2 linked regions of the Caenorhabditis elegans genome follow. The protein of the gene in region 2 interacts with the protein of the main gene of each other region in a pairwise test. Each region holds a gene or a part of one and is shown on either strand. Other genes may lie near its edges. The genes, in order: puf-8 and npp-1.

The links.
Region 1: the proteins of npp-1 (region 2) and puf-8 interact in a two-hybrid assay, tested with the Caenorhabditis elegans proteins (one study listed by BioGRID).

What each region holds. Positions count from the first base shown.
Region 1 is NC_003280.10:7,295,454-7,300,278, forward strand, and holds puf-8 (PUM-HD domain-containing protein), read right to left. Parts: upstream 2,795-4,825; 5' UTR 2,777-2,794; coding exon 2,654-2,776; intron 2,521-2,653; coding exon 2,235-2,520; intron 2,189-2,234; coding exon 2,095-2,188; intron 2,049-2,094; coding exon 1,182-2,048; intron 1,138-1,181; coding exon 974-1,137; intron 925-973; coding exon 851-924; 3' UTR 662-850; downstream 1-661. Other genes in the region: C30G12.6 (uncharacterized protein), read right to left, coding at 1-232, 280-562; C30G12.1 (uncharacterized protein), read left to right, coding at 4,118-4,234, 4,283-4,383, 4,431-4,539, 4,746-4,825.
Region 2 is NC_003282.8:9,856,556-9,862,744, forward strand, and holds npp-1 (Nucleoporin Nup54 alpha-helical domain-containing protein), read left to right. Parts: upstream 1-1,932; 5' UTR 1,933-1,936; coding exon 1,937-2,034; intron 2,035-2,082; coding exon 2,083-2,186; intron 2,187-2,266; coding exon 2,267-2,371; exon of another isoform or gene 2,372-2,816; coding exon of another isoform or gene 2,817-3,042; coding exon 3,043-3,312; intron 3,313-3,550; coding exon 3,551-3,732; intron 3,733-3,788; coding exon 3,789-3,968; intron 3,969-4,018; coding exon 4,019-4,412; intron 4,413-4,506; coding exon 4,507-4,685; intron 4,686-4,735; coding exon 4,736-4,933; intron 4,934-4,980; coding exon 4,981-5,190; 3' UTR 5,191-5,556; downstream 5,557-6,189. Other genes in the region: K07F5.12 (Transmembrane protein 144 homolog), read left to right, coding at 611-882, 929-1,179, 1,223-1,431; K07F5.14 (NUC153 domain-containing protein), read left to right, coding at 5,669-5,893, 6,008-6,116, 6,169-6,189.

The sequences.
Region 1 (4,825 bases), on a different chromosome or scaffold from region 2:
TGCTCGGCCTCCTCAGCACCTTGATCTCGTTCTCGTTCATCAACAATAATCGATATAAGCCCTTCAATTATCGAATCAATAACAGTATTCCGTTTGCAATCTAACATAGTTGACTTGAAAATTATTTTGTGTGCGACGTCAAAAAGTGCTATCGCTGCAGGCTCTGCTCTATATGTGACTTCGGTGAACACTCTTCTTATACGAGCTGTCAGAACATCCAACGGAACTTCTTCTGTAACATGATTGTCTTATAACGTTTATATATACTCACAAACAAACCAATCGTCAAAAGATTGAAGTCCTCTTCATTTAAATCCAGCTCCTTCTGTTCTTGTATGACTTCTTCATTAATTTCATCTTCTCCGTTTGCATCATCACTTTGTTTACTTACTGAGCTCTGAATAGGCTCATCGAAACTGTCGTTTTGAGGTTCGTTAGCTTTCGATGAAGCTTCTTGAGAATCAAAACTGTCTTCACACGCAGGTTCTTCAAAACTATCTTCATCGTTATCCTCTTCTACCATATCATCGAAAAGATTTCCGAGATGATCACCAGACTCCATCTCAAACATTTAGATTTGTGCGAAAACGGTTTTCAAGTAATTCAAGATATATAAGGGAGATATATAAACATCTTTAAAACAAATGTTCAACAACTTTTTTTTCAAATTTTTATGCTAAAATAAGATTAGGAAAAAATTACAAAACGAGTAACATTACAAATTACGATAAGCTGTCTACAGAAATGCACAGGGAATAACAAAAAGAACCGGTATAACAACCGGATTTGAGATAACTAAAGGTACATTTGTGAGGAGTTGAGTGTTGGGAATAGTACAAAACTGATTGGGCTAGTGAGATCCCTGCATATCTTGGTATGGATAGCTCATGACAGCCGGCTTTTGAAAATATTTTTCAAGTTTTGCTGCAAATTAAGGTTGAATATTATTAAATCATTCTTTGCAATATCTTACCAAGAATGTGCTTTCCATGAGGGAATTGTCTCAAAACGGGAATGTGTGGACGAACAGTTAGGATGAGTTCACGGCGCTGTTCTGATGTAACCTGATCGAACATTTTCTGAACAACGTAGTTGGCGTACTGATCTTTCATCATTTGGACAACAATCGGTACAGATCTGAATGAAATAATTATATCTACATTTTTCATGAATATACATACCCTTCCTGATGGTGACACGCAGCTCCTACGATCATGGACTTGTGATAAACTGCGCCTTGTTCCAAACATTTTTCGATAACGTTCGACGAGTACTTGTGGGTGGCAAACTCGAATAGATTGTTGGAGACACGAGTAACAATAACCATTCTATCCTCTTCACTTCCATGTTCAATGACGTGTTGAACCACATAGTTTCCGTACTGATTATTTGCAATTTCGTCGAAACGTTTATGAATTTGGCCGATAACAGGCTTCGTCTGCGAAGGACTGCAGTGTTCGAGACAACGTTGGACAACACGACAACCGTAGGGATCCACAGACATCTCGTAAATTGTGTTGCTGGATTCTAGAAGCGTATCGACAATGAATTGGACGTACTGTGGACTGACTTTCTCTATGGCCTTCTGAACCACGTGGTTTCCATTTTGATCTTTCATACAACGATGGATGACGTGTCGGATTTGAGAAAGAATTTTTATTTGAAGTGGCTCATTGATTTTTTCCAAAGCTTTCTGAAGAACACGGCAGGCATACATTTGAAACGCGTATTCTGGTACACGATCAATTATTGCATCGACGAGCCGAGCCCAATGCCTTTCTTCGCCATATTCGAAGAATTTCTGCACTACGTAGTTGCCGAAAATATCATCAACGAGCTCATCAGCATTGGAAACGACTTCATCAAATATAGAGTCCTTCTCGAATCTGTCCTTACTGGAAGCAAGTTCCTGTTGAATGAATCTCGAGCCAACTTGATCTTTGGCAAACTTCAACAGTGCTCCACGAATGTCTGATAATTTTAAATTCTTCATCATGGCTGGATTTGCACGATATCTAGTTAGAAGATCGTCGGTGGTTGTTGGTTCCCTGAAATATACAAATATTTAAACTATTTTTGAGTTTAGAAAAAAACCTGTAGGGATTTGAAAATATGCCTGTGGCAGACGGTTGAACCGGTACACGAATACTTTGAGAATGCGCTTGGTGCATTTGTAAATCATTATATGCTGTAAAAACGGAGAATTTCCATATTCGAAATATGTTTTTACTAACCTTGTGCTTGTAGCATTTGTGTCATTTGATTCGAAAACATATTAGAACCATTGTATTGATGATTCATGTAGTTGTTATTGATAGTACTCAAGACATGACCGACATTAGAGCTGATTGGAATATTTTCTTGAGCACAATAACACGATGGTGGAGTTCCGAACATGTGCAATGTATTCTGGCCAATTACTTTTCCTCCTTGATGCATGTAAGTGGCAAATTGAAACTCTGGTGTATCGGGAAGGCGTTCATTTTTTGGATTGGTAGAAATATGACGGCCATACGATCTCTGAAATCATTGTTTTATTGAAAATTTAATTGACAAACACTGCGGCAAATCTATCAGTGTGATTTATTGCATGAACATTGTATTTCTATTCAAAATAAAAAATAATTTCAATATTGCAATAAACAAGACTCACAATCGGAGATCCGCATACACTATCCACTATTTTCTGAGCACCGATGCTCCTCCCAAGAGATTCAATCGGAGAAGCTGAAGGATCAAATGTGCATGTATTCCCAATTGAAATCGGACGACTCATCAGGAACGCAGATTACCCCTAAAATAATTACTTTAGGTCAAGGAGGCATAGTTCAGCTTGAAAAAACAATTGCAACGCGTACTTTATTTATTTTTATTAATTAAAATAGTTGCACATGAGAATTTAGAACATTAAAATGAGAAAACAATGAAAAACAATCAAAAATCACTATTTAGAACAGGAGTTCCGTATTTATTCGGATAATTTTCGAACGAATACCGTAGTCGTGGTGTTCGTGGTGAAACCCATTTCTCCATTAAATGCATGTTCCTTTAAATTATTGAGGTTCCGCACGCACTTGAGAGTCCATGGAAAGGAGAACTGGTGAAAAACTTAATATACGAAAAGGTAATATGCTGAAAGGAGGCGTGGCATGTAGGAGAGTAGAAAAAACATTTTTTTCGACTTTTTGAAAAAATAGTAGGCTTGGATTATGTAGTTTCAATATGGTGTCGGGTACTGTATTTTCTGAAAACCCATGTGATTCGAGTTCGCGGCGAGACCTAATTCTTCAGGGACCTAATTTTATACGAATCCCAAGCTGACCTAGTGAAGACCCTGTGTAGATGTAACAGTAAATGTAAACATAGCATTTATATTAATCTCCGTTTTTCTGGAGATCAAATGCTAAGTAGATCAATTGAATATACTTGTGCTCTCAGAGATACCTGCTCCAAAGTCGATATTTCCTCACTCTCAACTCTTCAGAACTGGCAGAAAGTGTATGAATGAGTGTTGTTATGCATAGTATTGAATATTCTAAATTTATTTTCCATGTGCTTTGTGCTTAACATAGCTTGACCGTTTTGATTCTTTCTTTACAATGAAATGGATATACATCTTCATCTTTTTATTCTCGGGAGTCGAATGACCGTTTCAAAAACTTCAAAGTGTGTAGAGCATGCAAAAGCAAACAACGTGAAGATTCTCGACAAATTTAGTTTTTTTTTTTCTTCCCGACCGTCCGTTCGCCGGCCATCGTATCAAATTTCCTCCCACCTCTATTTCATTGTCATCTCCATTCCAACCCCTTTCTGACCTTTAACGAGAATTAGATTTTGTCTGTTTGTGTATATTTAATTTTGGAAAACAAAGCCTCACATCGAAAAAGGTTGCAGGCTGGCCGATCGTACGAGCGTATTGTGTGTGTGTACGAACATAGAGCGTCCGATTGCATAAGGTTCGTGTAAAGCAGCTTCCGGCCGTGGGAACAACACCATAGTTTGTGTGCCGAGAAGCGACGCCCCTTGTCTCCTCACAGTCCCATCTTTGTTCTTGCTTCGTAACTTGAACTCATCACGACCAAATAGAGTCTTTGACTAGGTGTACCCTTTGGTTGCCATGGTTAAAAGTCTTCATTATTTTATATTACCTTTAATTGGTAATGCCCTAATTCTAAATACACCACCTGAATATCAACCTGGATATGGTTATGTTGGACCAGCATGTGCTGTATTTGTAAGCATTCGTAGAAAACAATTTGAAAATATCTTCCAAATCTTTCAGGACAGTACCCTATTCCTTCATGGTGTTTCCAAGCGAAAGTTGAATGATCACGAACTACACATATTTAGTTCGTATCAGCATGATCTAAGTGCATTCAAAGAGTTTGTCATTCTATTCTCGATTGTTTTGAAAATTAAGCGTTTTACAGTTCATCATCTTCATTTGATTCTTTCGAAGCCTCGTTTCCTACAATTCCAAAATTCTGTGGAGGGTATGATGATTCTATTGAAGTGGTGTTGGATTCTTGTATTGTTCGAGTAAGTTTTTTTTTCCAATTGTGTATAGTTAGAACCATCTGGTTTTAATGTAAATCTTCAATATTACGGTATCAGGGGTCGACACGATCGGAAATTGATAGGTCAAAGACGCTTCGAGACCAATTACCGTATTCTTTTGTCAGAATCTATGAAATAGTCACTTCACTTTTTAATTACTACAATTAACAAATACGGTTTTTTTCTAGAATAATCACGTCTACGTTGGAGATCATCTTATCCGACCATTAACAAACTTTGAGAAACAGAAAATACAGTTAGTTAAAAT
Region 2 (6,189 bases):
AAACCAAAAAATGTTGAAAAAAAAGAGACCCGAAGAACTCGGGGGATGTCCAACTGGGGGGATTACCAACTCGGGGGATTGGCCCCGCCCACAGAACCGTGGCTTGCAATACGCCCATTTTTGCAACTGAATTTTTGCAACTAAAATTATTTTTTCTTGTTAATTCTCGCTCTATTGAGAAAAATACAGTTTTAAAACCGTGCGGCAGTTGCAGAAATGGGCGTATTGCAAGCCACGGTTCTGTGGGCGGGGCCAATCCCCCGAGTTGGTAATCCCCCCAGTTGGACATCCCACGAGTTCTTCGGGTCTCAAAAAAAAGGTTTTTCAAAATAATTTTAATCTAAAATTATTTCTTGAATACTTATTTGTGGCATGAATTTCAATTGAATACTATCAGAGGTTTTGGAAATGTGATACAATTTTTTTGGTTTTCAAAATTTCCAGCAATTGCGCCCATACCGTCTACCTCGTTATTTTCGGAATTTTGGCGGGAAGACGCAGATTGCCTCAAAATGCAGGCAGGCGTTTTGTGTCTACGCGGAAAGCTTACTCTGAAACATACTGAAACTACTACTACTACTCTGAAACTACTCTGAAACTCTTCTTTAAGATTATTGTCGGATGGGGAGTGGCAAGATTCGGGCTGTTCCAATGGATTGCCCCGCAGAATGTGAAAAATGATGTGTTGAACTATATTGGAATTGCATTGACAATCGTGAGTGGAGTTCTTTTGATATTCGTGAAACACGTGGAAACGGAGCCAGAAAATGAATATGATGTGACCAGCAAGGAAATGGAACATCAAGAAGAGATTGAGCAAAGACTCAGCAATTCAGAAAGAGATTCTTCATTTGATATGGCTGGTTTGGCAAAGAAATTACCGTTCGTTGGGCATGCTTAGAAATTTAAAAAAAAAACGAATTTTCAGTTATATCCTTATGGCAATGGTTCTTGCGTGTCTACATGGTTTGATGATGTCACCGATTGAATATTTGAAGCAACAGAATCCACCAACTGATAGTTTCCAAGTGTTTGACTATATTTTCCCATTCTACACATCAGTATTCCTCTTCTCTACACTGTATTTCTTCGCGTATTGTGTAATTTTGCGTCGAAAAGCCTACGTGGAAAGGAATTTGATAATTCCATCGATTGGGTACGGTATTTTATGGACTACAGGTAAGAGATGCGTGGTCGATTGTTCAAATGTTTAGTTCTTCAGGAATGACACTTTGGTTTGTCTCCAGTGATAAATTATCTCAAGTTGTTGCCTATCCATGTACCGCCCGTCTTCCACCGTTAATTAGTGGAGCTCTTGATGTATTTGTATTCAAGAGTATTCAAGGAACCCGATCATATGCTACGTTGGCAATTTCTTCTGTTATTGGTGTCATTTCGGTGATTATGATTGCTTTGTCTAATCAGATTTAATTAGAACAGAACCGAACGATTTATTGATCTCATCTCAAAATGTTGTATTATATTTGAAATAAAGTATTATTCGTATCGTTTAAACGATCGTTTGGTTTAAAAAAAAAATTTTTCAACAAAACAACTGGAAATCTAAAGAAGTTACTATTGATATCTTTTATATCGAAATTCAATTTAAGAATTCTTGATTAAAATGAGTTATCAAATTTTCGCAAAATACGAAGTAACTGAATACCTGAAACATGCATTTCTTTTCACGGTTGAATGTTCTTCGGAATATGTATTCTTTCATCTTCGAGGAGGGTGCCAGCAAACGCGCCCCTTCGTACACAGACAAAATTCGAAAAAATTTGCACGCCAAAGCGTCCCCAAAAATCGATTTAATTCGGCTCATTGTCTTATTTATATTATTATTTTCATTCTAGAATTCTCGCATTAACTACATATGTGTTCTTTTTCTTCTCACAAGCCCCATTTCTCTTAAAAATCGTTTGTTTTCAGCGAAATGTCACTTTTCGGGTCATCTACTCCCCAAAAACAGGCATTTACGTTTCCAACGCCGAATGCTCCAACAACATCGTCTGGAACTTTGTTTGGAAGCACGTTAGTATTTTAAGAAGTATTATTTTTATACAAAAATATTATTTTCAGAACGCCATCAAAGCCTCTGTTCGGTTCAACTGCTCAGGCTTCATCAACGCCTTCGCTTTTTGGAACAACAAATACCTCTACTCCTTCTGGAGGATTGTTTGGAAGTAAGTTTGATATTTTTACTTTTACACAACTTACTTCGTAATCAAAGTTGCATTTTAAACCGAAATATATTAAATTTCAGAGACAGGCACTTCAACTACTACCACTTCAACTGCTGGAACTTTGTTTGGTGCTGCTCCAACCACTTCAACAGCTACTCCAAGTCTTTTCGGTGCTTCTACAACCGGTAAGCTACTCAAAATTATCGATATTTTCGGTCACTTCTACTTAGTTTATACTATTAGCTGTTGTGTGGTCTCGTTGAGAGAAAAGCTAGACAATGATAAGGAGGGGAAATCGATAAATCATATTGATCGAAGTAATACATTTTGGACCAAAAAATTATATTCTAAATTCCAGCAACAAATGAATGAAAAAAGAAAATAGACTCAATATATTTTTTGATCTGACAAATTATTTGACCTACCAAGGTTCTACTTCTGTGATTTGCGCTTAATTTTTATTCAAAATTGTTATTTCTCTCCTATCGCTCTACTTCTCTCGTCGTCATTGTGTTCGTTACCTTCACTTTTCTCTGTCGTGGTCGGTGTCGTGCGGATTTCTTTGCCTGTTCTTCTATCACCCGTGTTGCTCTTTGCTACTCGTTTTCTTCGTCTCGAGCGTCTGCAGAAATGTTTGCCCGACGTGGGGGCATCACCGGAATCAAAGCAGAAGACATGCCGAAGAATCTTCCAAATCTTCCCGATTTACCTACGACATCAGCATCTCAAGCTCCAGCCCCAGCAACCCAGAATGTTAGTTCACCAGCCCGTCGCAATTTGTTTGGAGCACCCAATGACGCTAACCGCACGCTTTTCACAAATTCTCCGGCATCTGGAACCACTTCTGGAACTTCAGGACTCTTCGGAACATCATCAACGACATCTGGAGGTCTCGGCGGTATTGGATCCACACAACAAACTGCCAAATCACCCGTTGCCACAAGATTGGCAGCATTCAAATCAGGAACTTTGGGGGCTGGTAGTCTTTCTGGTAATACTCCAACATCTTTTGCCACACCATCTGCGTTACCAGGAACTAATGCCCCACAGTCATCTTTTCTATCACCGGCAAACAACTTGAATGTGGCTCCAGCAGCTTATCGTCCTCCCTACTCAACATTTGGAGGTTGGTATTCATCAACTTTGTATTAGCTTTTCATATTTCTAGAATTGAGTAGACTTGGTGGGTCAGATCAAAAACCGAATAAAAAAAAAAAAAACTAAACCTAATATTAAATCTTAAAAATAATTAATTTAGATATGTCTAATTAGCTTTAAAACATTGCTTCAAGTATTTTATCGTGAATCTGGAATATAATTGTCTAATTAACGAACTTTGATAATTTTGATGGCTCAATTTTCAGGATCGACCCCATTCGGAGCAGCGTCGACTGGAACAGCCGCGGGATCAACGCTTTTTGGATCGAGTACTGCAAAGCCAGCTACAGGCGGATTTTTTGGTTCCAGCTCAGGGTCTACTCTTGGTGGTCTTGGAGCAACTCAACAACAACAACAGCCTGTTGTTCAGCAGCAACAAGTTATTCAGGTAATTAAATGAATCTTAAGAATATCTGAGCGCTTTTCCAAATAAAATTTTTTCAGCAGTATCACCCATTTGTGAAAGCTGTCGGAGATCCAAAGCTCTTTGGAAATGATAATGATGGAGTTGTTGCTAAGTTGAATCAAGTTGCTGCCGGTTTGGGTGTCGGAAAAGCTCCATACAAAGATGGAAATCAGCTTCTATCGTTTTCAATGGAAGGAAACTTGTTTGAACGATTTGTTGTAAGTTTATTTTATAAATCACTGAAAACTTGCACAGTGTCACGTTTCAGGGAATCGGATACAATCGTATTTCGGAGCGAACCGACGATGAGGGATTTGTAACTTTGGTGCTGCGTCATCCTATTACAAACTTGAACACAGAAGAACGCCGTGACAAAATTCTTGAAATTATCAAAGCTATTCTTGGTGGCGGACCAAATGTAGAAGTTCGATATGCTCCTGGTACTTCGATGAGAACACTTTCTGATGGATGCACAGAAATCTGTATTATCGCCAAAGAAGGCGGATTTGTTGCAGGAGCTATTAAACTTGCTCAAATCCTCAATGATGCTCCAAAAATGACCCAATTAGAATCGCAGTTGCAAGTGGATAAAACAAGGGTTCTTCCTAAAGTTGGAATGTCGAAAGCACAAAGAGATAGATATTTGGAGACAGTTCCTGATGGTTAGTTTACTCGTTATTTTTACTATGTTTATCATTTATTAACAAAGATTTTCGTTTTCCTCCCTCGCATTGTATCAAATTTCATTCATTTCAGGAATCGATGAGCGTATTTGGAGACAAGCAATCAAAGAAAACCCAGCTCCAAACAAACTTCTTCCTGTTCCAGTACGTGGATGGGAAGCATTAAGAGACAGACAGAAGGCTCAAGTTGGCGAGTCGAAACTATTCCACGAGGCAATTAATGCATTGGGAAATCGTGTTGAAGAAGCTAATGTAAGTTGTTATAACTTGATGAAAGTTTACAAATGTCATACATATTTCAGCATGAACATGCAGATGCAGTTGTTAAGATGGAGATTATTCGTAATCGCCATAAAACTCTCTCGTACAGAATTGTTCGTGTTATGCTTGCACAATGGATTGTATCAAGATATTCACGTCAAATTGACACTGATGAGGATGTAATTGAAGCTAAAGCTGATACACTTCTTGCCCAAATGAATCGTCATAATCAAGTGAAGGTGAGAAAAAATTATGATTTAATTTTGTATAAAACAATTAATTTCAGTTTTATGTCGACAAATTCTACGAGATTTTGGAATCAAAACCGGATAAACTTCAAGAATCAATGTGGAAAATGTTTGATATGACAATTGAAGATGAACACTATGCTCGTAGAGTGCTTACCAAATTTGTTAATATTTGCTCTGGCCTTTACGAGTCAACACATCAACAAATCGAAAGTCTTGAAGCTTGTAGAAGGGCTCTAGAAGGATAATTTATTTTTTAGAAAAGATTTTCTGAAAATCTTTTTTTCAGATTTTCTCGTATTAATTTAAAAATTCGCTCATTTCTTTTGTATCATCATTATTTTCTTTCAAACTCTGACAGGTTTCTGGTTATTTCTGTTTCGACCTAAGATGTGTGGCAGAAAATTGTTTTTAAAACTTATACATATTGAGCAAAAAAGCTCGCTTTTTTCTATGTTCGCCTGTCATCACGAGTACATTTTTTCATAAAATATGCCTCATTCTTGGTTGTAACTGTTGATCTGACCTCCTCAAATTGTTAATTGTCTTATTTCACACACTGTTTAATAGATTGAATTAATTCATCTCAAACTTCTATCTAGAATAAATTTGATCTCCATTTTTCTGTTTGAGTTTTGTCAAATAACGGTTGTCTCCCGTTCGAATTTCTGCGATTTTCAAATAATTAGAATCACATAAAAACTATTGCAAAATGTATCTCAGAAAATGGACGATGAAGACAATGATGAAAAGAGACGTCAACGTTCAGATGAAGCTCGTCGAGCCGCGATGAGGCAAAAAATTCAAGATCAGAGAGAAAGAGATCGTCAAATTGCTGCTGACATTGCTAATGTTGACAAAAAAACGACAAAACGCATTGTATTTGAAGATTCGGATGATGGGGATGATCAGGATGAAGAAACAGAAAAAACAGCCGCGAATGGTGAAAAGGTTGGAAGTTTTTCAATTTTTTGAGATAAAAATCTCTTATAACAGCAATTGCCCGATTTCATAAAGTTGTTTGCTGTAAAGACAATACTCGTAAACTAAGTTGGAATAATTCAGAAAACCTCGCGCAGTTCAAAACGTCCAAAACTCTTCGATTCTGAAGATGAAAACGATAAAGATGAGGAGGAAGATTTTGAAATCAAAAATAGACACTCTGGTCCTAAAGGTATTGTCTAAAATTAAAATAAATTAAACCAAAACTATTTTTCAATTTTTAGGCGAAAAGCTGATGCACCTAG